3 linked regions of the Oryzias latipes genome follow. The protein of the gene in region 2 purifies or fractionates together with the protein of the main gene of each other region. This does not show direct contact. Links are inferred from orthologs where the notes say so. Each region holds a gene or a part of one and is shown on either strand. Other genes may lie near its edges. The genes, in order: ift88, ift81 and ift74.

What was found.
Region 1: the proteins of ift81 (region 2) and ift88 fractionate together in Homo sapiens (co-fractionation; 3 studies listed by BioGRID and IntAct, with this or other methods). This does not show direct contact. The link is inferred for Oryzias latipes from reciprocal best matches to the Homo sapiens genes IFT81 and IFT88.
Region 3: the proteins of ift81 (region 2) and ift74 purify together in Homo sapiens (affinity purification with mass spectrometry; 3 studies listed by BioGRID and IntAct, counting the BioPlex papers as one, with this or other methods). This does not show direct contact. The link is inferred for Oryzias latipes from reciprocal best matches to the Homo sapiens genes IFT81 and IFT74.

The regions. Positions count from the first base shown.
Region 1 is NC_019879.2:11,372,706-11,375,775, forward strand, and holds the end of ift88 (intraflagellar transport protein 88 homolog), read right to left. Parts: intron 1,348-3,070; coding exon 1,229-1,347; coding exon of another isoform or gene 1,207-1,228; 3' UTR 518-1,206; downstream 1-517. UniProt on the Homo sapiens protein: Positively regulates primary cilium biogenesis. Also involved in autophagy since it is required for trafficking of ATG16L and the expansion of the autophagic compartment.
Region 2 is NC_019867.2:25,423,856-25,427,510, reverse strand, and holds part of ift81 (intraflagellar transport protein 81 homolog), read right to left. Parts: intron 3,517-3,655; coding exon 3,432-3,516; intron 2,823-3,431; coding exon 2,659-2,822; intron 2,581-2,658; coding exon 2,485-2,580; intron 1,544-2,484; coding exon 1,403-1,543; intron 1-1,402. UniProt on the Homo sapiens protein: Component of the intraflagellar transport (IFT) complex B: together with IFT74, forms a tubulin-binding module that specifically mediates transport of tubulin within the cilium. Binds tubulin via its CH (calponin-homology)-like region.
Region 3 is NC_019878.2:5,897,373-5,901,548, forward strand, and holds the start of ift74 (intraflagellar transport protein 74 homolog), read left to right. Parts: upstream 1-1,336; 5' UTR 1,337-1,493; intron 1,494-1,766; exon of another isoform or gene 1,767-1,768; 5' UTR 1,769-1,775; coding exon 1,776-1,904; intron 1,905-1,993; coding exon 1,994-2,129; intron 2,130-3,726; coding exon 3,727-3,775; intron 3,776-3,970; coding exon 3,971-4,069; intron 4,070-4,175; coding exon 4,176-4,176. UniProt on the Homo sapiens protein: Component of the intraflagellar transport (IFT) complex B: together with IFT81, forms a tubulin-binding module that specifically mediates transport of tubulin within the cilium. Binds beta-tubulin via its basic region. Required for ciliogenesis.

The sequences.
Region 1 (3,070 bases), on a different chromosome or scaffold from region 2:
CATTCCATTTCATTTCCCCTCTCCGGAAATCTGTGCGTAAAATCCTTTGGGAGACGTTTGGATGCAACTGCGTGGCGCCAGAAATCTAAATCAAACCAAAGCACTGACAGATCAAGTCCCGTTCTGAGGCTTAGAGCCACGGAGACAAAAAGAGGAAAGTTTTCCCCTGCGTGACTGAGAGCAGCTCCTGACGCGAGTGGGAAGTCCAGACAGTTGGTCGCGCGCCTCCGCTGCTGGACGCCAGATTACTGGAACCCGCCCTGGAAAACCTCTGGAGTTCTGAGGAAACGACGATTTTTTACAGGACCACAGTATCAAACAAACAAAAATACCCCCCCCCCCCCCCAAAAAAAAAAAAAAAAAAAAAAAAAACAACAGAAACTTTTAAACCAAAACCCAAATAATCGAAAACCAATAATCATAATCCAGTTCCAAAATTTCATTTAACAAGTTTTTCAAATCTATGTTGAATATTTGATTTAAAGAAAAGAAGCCCAAAGGATCACACTGATCATGCTTAGGGGAAAATAACAATGTTTTATTTGAACAGTTATACATGTAAATAATCATTTATAAAAGATAATACAAATTTAGTGACCTGGGCTACCTTAGATCCACTAAGACTCCTGGGAAATGTGAAATCCTGTACAAAGAGTGAGGGAACTGACGGTCATGTTGTACACTTATTGTGTGTGTACTCAGCGATTTTCTTGCGAGTAAGAGACTGTGTGAATCTCAGAAACTACTAATAATACATTCTTAAAGATATTCTGGGGTCTTGCGGTGTATGGAGTACAGATGACTTTCCTACTCAGTCAGTCAGTTGGTAGGTCAGCACTTGCTCCCCCTCTACAAGTGATTTACCAGTCGAGTTGATACAGTTATAAAAAACTAGAACAATGATAACATTCATCTTCTTCTTCTGTTTATTCCCTTTCGGGGTCACGGGGCTGCCGGAGCCTATCCCACCGGAGCCTATCCCGGCCACTTGTGGGCAAAGGCAGGGGGCACCCTGGACAGGTCGCCAGTCTGTCACATTATTCAACCCATATAAATAGAGAAAAACCTTTATTTTATTTTGAATTAATCCACAACTTAAGTATAAGAATGCTGCTTCGCACACATCTGGTCTAAAAACACTTGAATGTGTGAATTTCTGAACATATAAACTGGCCTGAAGAGCCTTAAACAATCTGGAAAAGTTCATTACAGAACAGAGCAGATCCATCTACTCTGGCAGAAGGTCGTCTCCAATATCTTCATCAGCGAAGTCTTCTTCCACGACTCTCTTTGCTCCTGTTTTTGGTCTCTCCATAAGAGGCCCCAGCGGGTCCACATAGTATGCATCTACACGCATGTAGAAACAAAAAACAGCTTTAATGGTAACGTTTTTATTTTTTTGTTTGGACATAAGGAGCTACTCTCTAAAGCTACATCTTTTCACCCTCGGCAACACATGTTCAAGAGACCACTTCCATTCAAGAGTCTATGTAAACGTGTGTATCTGCACTATTTGGGCTTCCCCGTTCAAAACTCTCGCACTCATGCGTCGCTATGAGAGTTACTACGACCGTTTTTGGGCTCTATGTTCGAAGGGCGCACCCATTGAACGGGCGTTTAAGGTTAAACTAGTTTGAACTGTGACCAATCAGGGACTCCGATTTGGTAGTGACGGCTTCCATGTTAATTCGTGGAAGTGCCAACCGTTTGAAAACTGATGATAGAGAAGAAATTAATCATTTCTGAGGATGTTTTTCAGGACATTGAACCATTCTCAAACCAGAACAATGGCATGTAGATGTTTGTTCAAAAAAACATCCCATAACATTAGTTTAAAGACCTACTTTATTGAAAATGGTGTTTTTAAAATGGTGCTTTGTGGCCTTTTCTGATGATAGAGGACATATAAAAAGAAAATTAAGATGAAAGTTGCATTTATGAGTATTTCTTTATTCATATTATTGTAAAACAGGAACAGACGAATATATGCTGTTTGAAAAGTATGGAACCCTCCAGGTGCCAGTGGTTAAAAAAAAAATCTGATAAACCATGCACACGGATTAATCGATTGTGCTCGTACTGTTGCGCAATCATGCGCACGCACATATTGCATGTGCGTGTCTCTGAGCAGAACAGCCAGACTGGTAGCTTCGTGTTTGCAGGCAGGTTAGGGTGCTTTACTACGGTGTTGTAACTCAGGACAACGGTCTCCCGGGAGATTTGTATCTCCAAAAAGATGAGCGGCTTTGGGACGGGCGGAGGCGGCTTTTGAATGAACAGTCCTGAGAAACTGTGCAAACAATCATGTGAATTTGTGTTACCAGTCAGGTCCAGACAAAATAAAGGATGATGGTTATTCCAGTTTAAGTTCATCCACGGCTAAATGTTGTTAGTATGTATTAACCTCATCTATCTATCTATCTATCTATCTATCTATCTATCTATCCATCCATCCATCTATAAAGTCCCGTTTAGAAGATCATCTCGCTATATGTCGGAACTTTGTTTACAACGGAACTGGCGATATCTTCTTCTATGGTCGTACCTTAATTTATCCAGAGCAATCACTATCTTACACGTTATCGGACCAACGTACAGCCAATCAAAAAATGTGACGTCATAATTAGTCGCAGGCCCCTGTGGCCTGCGACTAATTATGACTTCATAGTTTTTTTTTATCTGTGCCGGCCGGTGCCTTTTTTTTTGGCTGAACTGACCCGGAAAGAGGATTAGGATTAGGTTAATATGTGCTAACAACATCTACCGGTAGCTGTGGATGAACTTTAACTGGAATAACCATCAGCCTTTAGTTTGTCTGGATCTGACTGGTATCATGATTGTTTACACGGTTTCTCAGGACAGTTCATTCAAAAGCCTTAACCTCTGTGCTATCATAGGCACTTTGACATTGGGAGTTGGGTCATCTAGACCCACTAGACAGTGCGCTGAACTTTTTTCTTCAATGATTTGTGATTTTCAATGGTTTCCATGGATTACATGAAATCTTTCCACCTTTATCCACCTTTGTCATAGTAGGGAGAACACATCAATGGTCATCTTGATAGAACAA
Region 2 (3,655 bases):
CATCCATTACATTCTGCAAAGCAGCTGCTGTGAAACGTGACTGCAGCTCGGTGTGCAGTCACACAGGGCGTTCACACATCTGAAAGAGTCAAAGAGGGGCAGCGAATGCCCTCACATGTCAAAAACATGGGGGCAATTTAAGAGCCCTCCCCAACTAATTCAAAAAGCGACTTAAATCCCCCATTGGTGTCTAAACTAAATTTAACCAGATGATGATCAAACGGCTTCCTGCTGCTGGTCAGCCAATGACGAGCAGCCGTGGTCACGACCCCTAGAGAGATCAGGCAGCTGTCGGTTGGCATGTGATGACACACAATGGAAAATACCTCAGATAAAGCGATCATCTCCACCACGGCTGATGTCTCAAAACTACCCAAGAGACTGATAAGCCCAGTTCAACAAAACATTTTCCACTATATTCATTCATGTAAAGACTCAAGAGCCTCTTTGCGCCTACAAACAACTTCCTGTTGTACTTTAAGAGCCTCAGGTTAACGGTCATACACAAGGGGATCTGCGAAACATGGACGGCAATCAACCATTTGAGTTTGCGTGGTATTGCTTCTGCCTGAGATAAGAACCACATCTTCCACAACATCTCGTTAAATTCCTTCCTGTCACATTTTTAAAGCTTCTCCCAGAGTGAATGGCTCAAATGATTCTTCTCTTCTCTTCCTGTGGACCATAAACACACTGGAAATGATCTTTTCATTTGTCTTGCACTTCGTGTATGTCTCACCAGAATCGGTAATATTAAGTTTGGATTTCTTTGCAAACATCACGTTTTTAGTTTTGTTTGTCTGTATTTTGGGCTCTTTTGTTCTGCTCGGACCAGACTGATGCTGAGACACCTGCTCCACCACTTCTAATCCACGAACCGCTACTAACACATGACTGTTTGGTGCTGTAAACGCAATGGAAGTGCAACAAATGTGCAAGGCTTACAACATTTCTGTGTGACATGAGGGCTTTACTCCCGCAGAGGAGCCTGTGGCAGATATGAAGAGTGCATCCTCCTGACTAAATCAAATCGAAGACATGTGTGTGACCTAACATGACCAGCTGACCTGTATTGGAAGATGGATTACATTAAAGACATTAAAGAAAGAGACTGCTTTCAGGAAGTTTGTTCAGAACAGCTCCTTGCTCTGGATATTCTTTCTTTTGTGTTCTATTCCTGGCTTTCATGGGAAGGTGGGGGAGAGTGGGGTAAAGGGGTAAGAAACATTATACAGTGAGTGTGTCTGTGTTTGGATAAGAACAGAAATAGCCTCTTGAGGATTCTGTAGGTCGCTTATCTTCTAGAGCGCACTGGTACGAGGCTGCAGATGACGAGAGCCTAAAGGAAGACTGAAAAAACCCAACAGCTTTGTTTTGTGGTAGCGGCAAACCAACTCTGTACCTCGTCGCCTCGAATGACCTCCTCCTCTGGTGACGACTGGCTGTGCCTCTGTTTCATCTCCTTCTCTGCTGTGGCCAGCGCCTCCCTCGCTTCCTGGAGCTCCTCTGCCTTTGACTCCTTCTTTCGGCTGATAATGGAGGCCTGAAACGTTCATGTTGTATTAGATATGCAGCAATGAAAGAGGAAGTTAGTTTGAGTTTTCTTTTGAGACATCATGAAAAGAAGTGCACAGCAGCAGAAAAAAATAAACTAAAAACTGAGCACAAACTTTCAACCCAAAAAAACCCCTCAGTTATCATTTTATATAAATTAGAAAAATGATATTATTATGAATTTAATTATGTTTCTTGTATGAAATTTCCTGCCTGTTACAAGAACAAAGATTGCAGATAAAAACTAATATAGAAGAATATTTATATTTAATAATAAAAAATAATGCAGGAAGAATAAATGGATAAAAATAGTTAATTGTATAAACTATTACAGTGGTGTCTTTTTGTAAAGAGGACCAATTTGGTGCAGTGAAAAAGTGTGAGGGCCAACAATCGGCCTGCATTCTTTGAACCCCAATTATAACATTAAATGACTTAAATAACCTATTTAATGAAAAGTCTTTTGCAACAGGATACTTTCCATTTCTTCACATAAGTAAGTACAAGTACAAGAAGTACAAACCATTGCGGTTTTGATCACAGAAGCCAACCTGGTCCTTTCATTTGGCCCTCATGGCTCAGAAGGTCAAGCACCCACAGGTTGTTGTCGCAGGTTTACGACGGCTTATATCATAATTTAGCCAATCACAACCAAGAAATTGTACACACGATTCTTAGAAAGTGTTAGGAGTTGCATATTATTTTTGTTTTTTATGACAAGAGCCTGCGGGCTGGTAGAAATATGAACATGAGCTCCATTTGGCCCACGGGCCGGACTTTGGACATGCCTGAACTAAGCCAAACCAAACCGGGATTTCTAATCCTGTGTGACTGTGGCCACTGGGAGTCATAACTCACAGGCTGCCGCTCATTTGATGCAAAACTGATAAAGAGGTGAAAGACCATCACAACATGCAACCGGGTCAGCACCTGTTGTCTGTAAAGGGTCAGTTTGTCATCTATGGGGTCATTCCTCAACATCTTCTTCTCAATCAGCAGGTTAATCTGAGAGTCCACGTCTTTGATCTGTGGGAGCGTAAGTCAACAATCAGAACCGTGGGCGGCATGAAGGAACCCAGCATCCCGCCATGTTCGACTCTTTACCCTGTCCTCCAGCTCCCGGATGTTGGCCTGGCCCATTGCAGGCTCTGATGCCACTTTCTGCAGGTACTGCACGGTGCGCCTCAAACTCTCCAGCTCTTTGGGAAGTTTCTCAGTGACCATGTAAGTGTTGATCTTGATCTCCTCTTCAAGTCTTCTGGTTAGGCCTGACAAAGACAGTTTTTTGTTAAGCTTCAGGTTTGATGCATTTGCTTTATTTTTTTTAACACAAACAGATTTTTGGCTTCATTAAGGCTGTTAAACCTTTAGTGGAAGAAGATGCAAAATATTTTTGATAAATAAAACTGATGTGAACGGGGCTAAAACATTGTATGGGAGGGGGCAAGAGGGGGGCAGAATACTTTGCAATGGTGGCAAAACACCAGAGAGGAAGGCCGTTACAAAGGGAAAAGGATCAAAAATACATATTTCTAACGTATATGTACTTGACTCAAATGATGGCATAAGCATTTTATTCACATATTAGAAAGTTATGTCAACAGAGAAAGCAGTGAGTCTCCTCTAATAGTGCAGCTTTTCATTCATCTGGACAGCACAGATCATTTTAGAAATCTCTAATTTGTAAATCTCATTTAGGCTTAGGAGCCCAACACCCAGAGAAAACCTAAGCAGGATATTTCAAACCCACATAAGCTTCATTACACTAAATCAGAGATCAATATAATTAGTATATCAACAAGTTAAGCATGTAAGCAAAGACTGCTGTGTGTGGTTTCCATGAATTTTCATGTCCTTCAAAGGACCGGGACACTCACTCTCTGGATTTGCATCTGTGGCCGATTGGCGCATATCCTTCAGCTGCTGCTGGGACCTCAGCACTCTCTGCTCTGCCTGAAACAGCTGAGCACACACAACAATGACAAGTATTGCTATTTTAGGAAGTTAAACATACAAAAGTCAAGTGTTGTAGCTTTTGACGTCTTTTAGATTCTTCATCATGTGCTTAATTTGATAGATTTTTAGGAAAAACACAAGATTT
Region 3 (4,176 bases), on a different chromosome or scaffold from region 2:
ATCATTTGCAAACCCTCCTTGAAGTTTTGTGTGGGTTTACTTTTTTATTTTAAGTTTCTTTCCTCTTTTTTGGATTGGGCTAAAGTGTTTATTGTGATTACTTGTTAATTAGTGATGTGATTATTAAACATGAAATAAATTGGACCTTAAACTCACTTTTATGACTCTTTCCTGTGTTATATAAAATAGTCAGAAATATTAAATGATTTTTGTATTTTTGTATTTGTGCTTTTTATAAAGTGTTATTTTGCCATTTGAGCATGTCTATGGTTAAATTTATAAAATATCTATTTGTTTTGCACAAAACTCTTTTTTGTTGTTGATTGATTTGAAAATCAGTTCTAAAGATCATGTGTATCAGAATAGGCTGACAGGTTAAGTTTGTATTTAATTAAACTACTCCTAAAGCTACAGAAATTGATCGTTGTAGAAAAGCAACATGTTTGACATAACAAAAAAATGACCAACTACTGACATAGGCATGATAATCTCAGAAGATTTAAAAAACAAAAGATGAAGCACCGATGAATTTCAAAGTAATGGCACTGTGTCAAAGAAATATAATATTTTTCTAAGCCAGAGTGCTGCAATCTGAGGCTTCGCAGCCTCGTGCAGTTCTTTTATCCCTCCATTATTGCTCTTTGGCTTTAAAGAAAAATGCAGCAATTTGAAAAAATAATGGGTTAGTGGTTTTTGTTGATATGGTTTAGTTAATTAAGTTTGTCATTTGTTTAGATCTTTAACATGTCAGATAACTGAGGGGGGGGGGGGGAGATGGCTTATTAGTAAAATAAGCAAAAGCTCATATTCATATATTCTTCCGATGCTGCTGGTTGGTGTTCAAAGCCTAAATCGTTACGGCATAGAATTGCATTTACATGCATAGATAATTAAAAAAAAAGATTCTAAGCTGATTTTTTCACGTTTATATTTGATAGTAATACAAGTAAAAAGATGAAGGAACTACGTAATCACACTGATAGAAATGTTCTGTTTGGCTTTCTTGTTTTAATTGTTTTAATTCAATACAATTTTTAAATTCAAGTAAATCTGCTGCAACAGGAGAACCTTATTTGACACGGGGTATTTTATTTTGAAAGGAATGTGGATATGCAGCTCTCAAAAGTAAATTCATTTTCAATTGTTATTTTTTGAAACACGTAACACTTTCATAATTCAATTGTTATAAATGTTTAAAAGTTATGTTTAATAAATGAATAGTTAAGTGTCCATATAAATATAAACAATATTTTTCTGAGAGAAGAAGCACCAGGAAAATGGTTCTGATAATTGCACAGCCTGTATTGGCAGGCAGAGGGCAGCAGTCCCGTCTCAAAATGCACAAAAACTAGTAGAAGAAGATGGTTACTGGGGTAACGACGACGTTATCCTCGGCCTCTCGTTGCTAATGTTTTTATTGTGGGTTTATTTTTCTCTTTTTGATTAATCTTCTGCATAAGAAGAGCGGGACATTTAGAAGAGACACTAAAAAGGTACGAAAGATGACATGTAGCAGTAAGCTAACGAAAGAGCAGTTAGCTAAAAAAATTGTTTGGTAATCTAAACACAACTCTATTAGAGTTGTTCAGTCTTTGTAATATTATACGGAATGACGTTTGCTTAGAATTACGTTAAAAGTCAGACCTTTGTTTCTCCTAAGCATCGATAAAACGAGGTTCTAGGTGCAGAGAACTTTGTAGTGTCGAATTGGGTCGCGTCACGCCAGGCGGAAGGTGCTCTTAAAAAGTCACACGTCTGTCTGTTTCAGTCTCATAATGACGAGCCAGCGGCCTCCATCCAGCATGGGGAGGCCCCCCAGCCGCAGTGGATCAGCGGCCCCTGGTGCTGGAAGACCCCCAACGGCTGTTCGACCCCCTCCTACAGCTATTCGGGTCCCCACTGCAGTAAGGCATTCATGCAGCTCACATCCCATAATACACCCTGTTAAAAATACTTAACTTTCATTATGCTTTTCAACCTTTGACACACTCAGATGGTTCCTGGTACAAGCGGTTACCCTGGCATGAGGGGGGGCATCCCCTCCCCAGGGGTTCTGGCTGCACCCATCAAAGTGACAGACAGACCAGTCACCCAGCAGGGGCTCAGCGGGATGAAAACTGGCATCAAAGGTATTCCTGATGGTGGGAATCCCTGCATGTTAAGCAAATCTGTTCTTTCCAGCAGTGTGCAACGGAGGAAATAAGTATTTGATCCCCTAGTAACTATTAAGAATTCAGGTACACATGGACCAATTAGACCCTCCTAACCAACCTTAATTAAAGACACTTTATTTGAACTGATCGCATGTAGAATAGATACTTTTCCACAGAATCAGTCCATCAGTCAGACTCCAAAATCTCCAACATGGGAAAGACTAAAGAGCCTTTAGTGGATTTAAGGAAGATTGTAGGCCTGCACACGGATTGGACTACAAAACCATCAGCAAGAAGCTGGATGTTAAGGGACTCTTGCTGCCAAAATACAAGAATGTGACCATCAATCCACCTTTTAGGTCTGAGACTCCAAACCAGATCTGAGCTGGTGGGATTTTCATGATCATTAGAGCAGTGAGAAATCGGCCTAAAATGACACGGCAGGAGTTAGTTGATTATCTCAAAGCAGCTGGAACCACAGTTACCAAGAATATCATTATATATATAGTATACTTGATGGTTTAACATCTTGCAGAGCTTGAAAAGTCCTGTTTAAGAAGACACGTGTGCAGACCCACCTGAAGTTTGTCAATGAACACCTTCATGAATTAGAGCAGGGGTGTCAAACTCATTTTCACCGAGGGCCACATCAGCAAAGTGGTTGTCCTCAAAGGGCCAGATATAACTTATACATGTAACTAAATGTAATGAAAACAAATGTAGCTACTACTTAATGTTAAATAACTCATTATTTATTTACTATAACTTTTTAAAGAAACAATTACAGTTGTATAGAAAACATATGTTTGCTTGTAACTCTAGCATAAATCCATTCAAATTTGATTCTGTCAGGCTAGGTTATATAGTGTTTAAGTCCCAATATATAGTAGCCCAATCCGATATTTCAAGTCAGATTCCCCTAGATATGAATAAATACACACTAATTTTTATTTTTTTATTTTACGAAATGAAAAACTTTTATGCTCTCGCGGGCCATATAAAATGACATGGAGGGCCCCCGGGCCTTGAGTTTGACACCTGTGATTTAGAGAGAAACTTGGAGAAAGGGTGCGGTGGTCGGATGAGACCAACATGGAGCCCTTTGGTATCAACTCAACCTGTCATGTTTGGAGCAGGAGCAGGTGCACCAGTTCTAAGTCAGCTGCTAGGTGCCAGTAGGTCTAAAATTGGTGGTGGATGGATCTTCAAACATGATCATGATCCAAAACAAACAGCCAAAACAACCAAGGAATGACTGAAGAAGAAGAAAAAGAAAAGTGGAATATAATTCCTTCTGATATGTGTAGAAACCTGATCAACAACTACAAGAAACCTCTGACCTCTGTGCTGCTTATAAGAGTTTTGACGAGTTTTTGAAGTATTAAGTGTTTCTGGCAAGAGGGTTTAAATACTTATTTCCCAGACTGTCCATTTTATTTAAGTGGGAAAATCTACAAAATCAGCAAGCTTATTAATACAAATAAAACAAGTACAAATACTTATTTCCTCCCCTGTTTGTTTACATCCAACAGAGGACAGTTTGTCTTCACCTATTCTGTTTTCCTCACTGCAGGACCTCAGAGACAGGTTCTGGACAAATCCTACTACCTGGGCCTCCTCAGGTGAGGAACACCGATTATCTTTAGGGACATTTTTGTTGCACTAAAATATATTTAATACCTGAATGTGTTATTCAGTGCTATGAGGATTTCCAACAATACGAAAGCTGTTTTAAAAGCAGATTGATCAATAAACGATCATGTATAAAATGTAGAACATGTGAAAAAAGTGGTTAATTCTGTTGTTTTTACTGTTAGGAGTAAGATCAACGAGCTGACCACTGAGACCAGCAAGCTCCACAAAGAAATTGATAACTACAACCAGGAGAACTCTGTGTACCTATGCTATGAGAAGAGGTGGGTGGTGGTTCCACTAGTTTGCACTGACATTGTAAGTTGGTTTTTGTTTCCCCAATGCGAATTTCCTTCATAGATAAACTGGTTGGATATGTGTTTGAAACAGA